Linked DNA regions of Mus musculus. The protein of the gene in region 1 interacts with the protein of each later gene in a biochemical or structural test. Links are inferred from orthologs where the notes say so. Each region holds a gene or a part of one and is shown on either strand. Other genes may lie near its edges.

Region 1 (3,912 bases):
CAAATATAATAAAATTTATTTAATTCAGATTTTAGTAAATAAAGAATTATAATTTACTTGTGGATTAAATAAAAACTAACTTTCACAGTACCTCCTGTAGCCCTAAAGTTGATAGTGCAAAGATGTTTGATAGAAATAGTTGAATATTCAGACTGTTGTCCTCCGACACTGTGGCTTGTTGAGTCTAGTGGCTATGCAGAGGCCCAGGGGGCTCTTTATTTGGGATATGAGTGAGTTTGAAAGTACTGGAAACTTTAAATCCTTACTTTAGAAAGAATCTATAGCTAGGCTGTCTATTAATAGTATATCTATCAGTTCACCGGAACTAAATTTCTCAACCATTTTGGAACATTAACCAGCAACTGAATTTGCACTCATTAGATGTGGAGTCAGATCGAGACGCGTTTGCAAGCGCCTGGGAAGGACCTTTAGATGTGTACTCCAGACACGTAGCAGAAATTTCCCCCAAAAGACCGTCACCTGTCATGTACTGCAAAATAGTTTTAACATACAGTCAATTCAATCATCTTTAAGGATAAGTTCTTAACTCGGATTCTAACTTAAAATCTTTAGTCGACAATACAAATGAGATGTGACAGCTCCATGTTCTTATTACAGGCTTGTTTGGGAAGTCAGCCCCTGCTCTGTACTCGGTATTAGAAGCAGGGTGCTGGAAGGTGGTTGCAATCTTAAGATGTGAGGTTTTTGTTAAAAGGAGACAGAAAGCAGCTAAAAGTCAAGTCACACACCACAGGAGATGTCCCCTTGGGACCACAGCCCTTGAATTTGTGCCGTTAGTATCCTTCGGTCAATTACTGATGACCCAGATTAGCTGCTTGGTCCCTGCTAGGTAGGCCTAGAAGGGACCTGCCGACTGCCTGTGTGAGCTTGCTTGTCACTTCCTGCCAAAGGACTGGCTTGTCACAGACTGAAGGGCCTAGATTTCTCTTCTCAAATACTGAAGCTTCATCTCTGAACAGCCAACCCTGTCCCCACTGCCTCCACACCTGTGGGTTCAGCTGACCATAGAACATAACTATCGGAGACGTATTAGGCCTGTACTGACCCTGAGCAGTAGTCTGTCTTCGTCATTCCCTAGACAGTGCAGGATAAGTTGTTTGTGGAAGATTTCCTTTGTGTGAAGCATTGTAAGCCATCCAGCGGTGATTTAAAGTACACCAGAATTTGTGCTGTGTGTTCTGTTAAATCAGCCATTCTGTTATAGGGATCGAACATGTAGGATTTGAAGTCTGGGGGATAGGGAGGGCTCTGCAGCCAATCCCCCGTGGATGCAGGAGGATAGCTGTATATGTCTGAAAGATGCTCTAACTCTTGTACAATACACTGAAGCTGTTTTGGGGGGCTAGGGTGAGTGTCAGTGGGGTCTGTCCTGAAGATGGAGGAAGACTTCTAGTATTGGTTGCTTGTTCCTATCATTGTTTGACACAGATGTCTTAGTCGGTGCGTGGACCACAGTGAGGGTTGGACTGTCAGAGGCATGGCTCTGAATACCCCTTCTCTTCTTACATCCCCCCCGCCCTCCTTTCAGGGATGTGTCCTCGGAATCAGACAATAACATCAGGCAGATCAACCAGGAGGCTGCACACCGACGCTTCCGCTCTCGGAGGCACATTAGTGAAGATTTGGAGCCTGAGGCCTCTGAAGGCGGTGGAGAAGGCCCTGAGGTATGATGTCCAGAGATGCTGTCGAACTAAGTAGCTCCATCTTCCAACGTTCCCCAGGGTGATTTTGTACCTTATTTTTTTCCCCTCTCGGTTAACTGTGTATTGCATGTGACGATTGCAGCCTCATGACTAACTGATTTCCCACCTGAGTATTAGTGAACTTAGAAAACGCTTGTGAAACCAACGTTTGACCAAACCCAGTGACTCGTAGAAATATCAAGGGGAGAACATGATTCTGGTGTGAAGGTCTTATATGCCACCCCCCCCCTGGGCCCCCGGGGACCTAACCAATCTCATGACACAACACTAAAGTTGTCATTTTGAGGAATGGAGGGAGCTCAGTCACTTGTCTGGGTCTCATGGGCAAGTTTCTAATGAGTTGCTTGACATCTTGGGAGAGATTACCCAAAAAATGTACAATCTGAGTTGATTGGAATATTGATAACTCTTCTCTATAACCAGTTAGCAATGTGTTACTGGAAAAAAGAGATGAAGTAAGCAACAAGTCAGAAGTGATCTTAACTTGATGCTGATGACTGGTCCTTGGCTTGACCTCGTGTTAGAAAGGTCATTCACAAAAACCTTTCAGTGACCAGCATTAGAACAGCAAGCTAGTGGTTTCATAGTAGGGCCACTGAACGTTCTGCAGAACTAAGCCATTTTAAGAAAGAAAGAAAGAAAGAAAGAAAGAAAGAAAGAAAGAAAGAAAGAAAGAAAGAAAGAAAGGAAGGAAGGAAGGAAGGAAGGAAGGAAGAAAAAAGAAAGAGAGAAAGGAAAACTATATGAGAATTGCTTGTAAATTCTTGGGGTGTTTCTAATCCATTTGTAACACAGGCTGGCAAAAAGCTGCCACGGTGGGGTGGGCGTGTATGTTGACAGGAGTCCATGGCGGGGTGGGCGTGTATGTTGACAGGAGTCCACGCGATTGTGGCCACTGGACCTGCCTGCCCCCTCACACTATGTTCACATCTTTATGGACTGCTCACTTCAGAAATTTGCTCGCTCTGAAGTTTCCTGGCCTGTTCATTGGGGCAAAGGCCCTTGTCGTCCTTGTGCTGATCCTGAAGCGTTTGTGTCTCGTGCTAAGTAGGGGTTAATCAAGAGTCTTCTACTCCCAGTCAGTTCTGGCCCTCCGAAGAGTTTCCCTCTTTACCTGAGGCAATTCTATATGAAAATTGGCCCTGGCAGGTTGGGGAAAACAAAAAAGTTGTTCTTTTAGAAAGAAGGGGGCGTGTCACCAGCCTTTTCTTGTTTGATGGTTATGAATGTTGTGTGTTTTATTAGAAGGTAGACAGGTAATTTCCCAGATCCTAGCACTTATCCTAGTGTCTGATTCCTCCATAGCCTTGGGAGACCATTTCAGAGGAAATGAACATGGCAGGAGATTCTCTCAGCCTGGCTCTGCCCCCACCGCCTGCCTCCCCAGTGTCCCGGACCAGCCCCCAGGAGCTGTCGGAAGAAGTGAGCCGAAGGTTGCAGATCACTCCGGACTCCAACGGGGAACAGTTCAGTTCTCTGATTGTAAGTCATGGTATTGTTAGAAAAGCTGGACACCGGTGGTCAGTCCTTTGTTGTAGCTTCTGAGGATGTTCTTCTATGCAGATAATAACCAAGGCCATTGGTTCTTGACCTACAGGTCATGACCCATGTAGGGGTCAAACTACCCTTTCACAGGGGCCACATATCAGAAATCCCACCTATTGGATATTTACATTATGATTCATAACTGTAGCAAAATTATAGTTGTGTAGTAGCAACAAAATAATTTCATGTTGGGGTCACCACAGCATGAGGAACTGTGTTAAAGGGCATTGGGAAAGTTGAGCGCTACTGGCCAAGAGTGTTCTACTTCCAGTCAGTTCAGGCTCTCCAAGGAACTTCCGTCTTTACAAGAAGGAAATTTAGCCCTGGCAGGTTAAAAATATATATATATATATATTGCTCTTTTAGAAAGAAGTGGCATGTTACCAGCTTTTTCTTGTTTGTAAAAAATTCAAAGGAATAAGATTCTGTGGATTTTGTAAGTTCTAGCTTTAGCCTTGTAGGATCTTGTTCCTGTCCAAAGACTCATGAAAACAGTGTCTCTGCCATGAGGCCATTTCCTGGTGAGAATCCGGAGCCCCAGAGCCTCCCAACCAGTCTTGTAAACTCCCACTCTCCACACCTCTACCTTCCATCTCACAAACAAGGAGAACGGATATTTAAGTGATTGTCCCTGGCAAAGCCC
Region 2 (2,720 bases), on another chromosome or scaffold:
TTATTTAGGACACTAAGCTTATACATAATGACTTCTACTTTCTTGACCTGACTGTCCCCAAAGGCCCAACCTCCTAGTGACCATCCCACTGGAAGCAAGGGACACAAACAGGCTAACTTTTGATAATTGAGAACCCATTCTGTTCTCAGTAAACGAAGAAGCAAAGGTAACTTTTTACTAGGGGGATCATAGTATATTCCTAGGAGAGAGCTGGTTAAGATCTTGTTGGAGGCTGGAGAGATCACTCAGCAGTTAAGAGCACCTGATTCTCTTCCAGAGGATCCAGTCAGTTTCCAGTATCTGTGTCAAGCAGCACACAACCACATGTCACTCCAGCTCCAGGGATCTCATGCCCTCTGACTTGTAAGAGCAGGCAGTGTGGGGGCGGGGGGGATACACAAATAGAAATAAATCATTTTTTAGTCTTTCCCTGTACCCTACCTTAGTAGTAAGAAATTACTACTACAAAGAGTATTACTACTCTATAGGTCTTAGAATCGGAGTGCAAGTTTTACTGCTGTTGCTAAGGTACTTGAATACAGAGCACTCTGGAAGCCAATGCAATATTTTAGAAGGATGGTATAGCCGAGTAAGGGTACAACCAAGTATATTGTATTTAACAAGAATGGGGTTTGGTTAATGGCTAATGAAAGTTCGTGTTTAGTTTAACACTGAAGTGAAAACTGATTACATCATTGACATTCGCCTCTCTCACTCACTAATTTTTATAAGGTAGGAAGTATAGGCACCAACTTGGAATTACCCATGACCCAGCATTTGTGAGGGCTGAGTGACTTTGAAGACAGTTTGAGCTACTCTGTCTCAGAGGGCCAGAAGATCTTCTAGCTAAAGCAAGTGTGTGTGTGTGTGTGTGTGTGTGTGTGTGTGTGTGTGTGTGTGTAGGCTGGCTGGAAGTCAAATGTTGTATGTCTTTATGTCAGTGTGGAGTTTAAAACTCTGCCAAGTACTTTAGTTAGGGCAAAAATTCTTGTTATTTACCAGAAATGATGCAGCAATGAGAAAACTTGTCACTGAATGAAAAATGAGGACATGATCACTCCTAGGTATGGTTAGATTTTATTGTAGATAAAGGGGAGAACAGGCAGAGACATTGGGAGAGTCCAGACTGAGCCAAGCTAACAGACTGAATGGAGTTATTGGGCATGGGGATGGGGAGGACAAGAAAAGGGGGGTGGGGCAAGCTGACCAAGAGTGAAACAAGAGCTCAAGATTGCGGTGTGGACCAAGAGAGCCATAGTCAAAATAGCTGAGCAGTACAATGAAGAGAAGGTGGGGGAAGGGAAGCAGAAGCCCTGTCCCCAGGTCTCACCCTGGCCTGGGTGAGAAGTGTTTGGAGAAGCCACAGGTACTGAGATTTGCCCTGAGTTTCTTTGAATCATAATAGTCAGCGGCTTATATTCTAAGAAACGAATCTTTAATTGATGTTTACCTTACGCTTGAGAGTTGAAGAAAGTTCATGTCTAGCTGCAGCTAGAGTGTTTAGAATGGGTCTGGTGTTCTTCTGTCCTGGCTCACTACCATATTCTTTATGAAGAGAACCCAGACATTAAACCAAAAGGATAAGGGGAGGGTTTTTTTCCCTTTTCTGATGCAATGTCACCATGTCTTTATCTGCTCCTGTATTATTTCACAGTGCTGGTCCCAAGGGTGACAACATCTATGAGTGGAGATCAACCATTCTGGGTCCTCCAGGGTCTGTGTATGAAGGTGGAGTATTCTTCCTTGACATTACTTTTACACCAGAGTATCCTTTCAAGCCTCCAAAGGTAAGGAGTCTCCAGTGTCTCCTGACATTAACTGTTCCTTGAGAGAGATCAAGTTTTCATTGTAATCACAAAAGCTAGAGTCTTCCATTTGTGTGCTGCTGTCCTGTTAAAGCATGTTAGTAACAGCTGTGTGTACTGCGGTACAGTCTAGATCTGTGTGGCAGAAGAGCTCAGCTTCCTTCTGTGTATTGTTTGCCAGTTTTAAGTGAATGTGATGACTGTTGGTTGGGTTGGCTCCTCAGTAGGCAATAGGCATTTCTAGATGTAAATGCTTAAAACTGTGCTAGTTATTGTCTAGCTTGTTAGATTTTACGCACACTCCGAAGCAGTGTATTACTTCCAGCTAACACAAGAGGTCAGCAAACAACTAACAATCCAAACTTAAGACATAGTCATATTTAGAACATTAAAATTAAGCCAGATGTTACTAGTAGCACATATCTGGAAACAGAAGCAGGCAGAGGGATCAAAAATTTGCAGCTACTTTGGGATATATGGTACCAGACTAGCCTGATCAAGAAAAGAAAAAATGAAAAAAAAAAAAAACCAACAAAAAAAAAAAAAAGAAAAGAAAAAATGTAAAGAAGTATCTGGCAGTGGGTACTGCTGTAAAATGAGATGGAGAATTGAGTGTGGCCTCACTTCAACAGCGTCTACCTGAAATGTCATAATGCCTCCTACATGAATGCTGCTTGACAACTGCCTTATTTTTAGGTTACATTTCGTACAAGAATTTATCACTGTAATATTAATAGCCAAGGAGTTATTTGCTTGGACATATTGAAAGACAACTGGAGCCCAGCCCTAACCATCTCGAAAGTCCTCCTTTCTATCTGCTCACTCCTTACAGACTGCAATCCTGGTAAGACGAATAGTCATCTGCACTGTATTTCTTACTAAATGTTTCTTGTTTTCCACATAAGCTAAGACCAT

Evidence for each region. The genes of interacting proteins can lie anywhere in the genome.
Region 2: the proteins of Nedd4l (region 1) and Ube2e1 form a complex in vitro, tested with the Homo sapiens proteins (2 studies listed by BioGRID). The link is inferred for Mus musculus from reciprocal best matches to the Homo sapiens genes NEDD4L and UBE2E1.

What each region holds. Positions count from the first base shown.
Region 1 is NC_000084.6:65,159,966-65,163,877, forward strand, and holds part of Nedd4l (E3 ubiquitin-protein ligase NEDD4-like), read left to right. Parts: intron 1-1,549; coding exon 1,550-1,685; intron 1,686-3,029; coding exon 3,030-3,206; intron 3,207-3,912. UniProt on the Homo sapiens protein: E3 ubiquitin-protein ligase that mediates the polyubiquitination of lysine and cysteine residues on target proteins and is thereby implicated in the regulation of various signaling pathways including autophagy, innate immunity or DNA repair.
Region 2 is NC_000080.6:18,284,203-18,286,922, reverse strand, and holds part of Ube2e1 (ubiquitin-conjugating enzyme E2 E1), read left to right. Parts: intron 1-1,654; coding exon 1,655-1,787; intron 1,788-2,501; coding exon 2,502-2,649; intron 2,650-2,720. UniProt on the Homo sapiens protein: Accepts ubiquitin from the E1 complex and catalyzes its covalent attachment to other proteins. Catalyzes the covalent attachment of ISG15 to other proteins. Mediates the selective degradation of short-lived and abnormal proteins.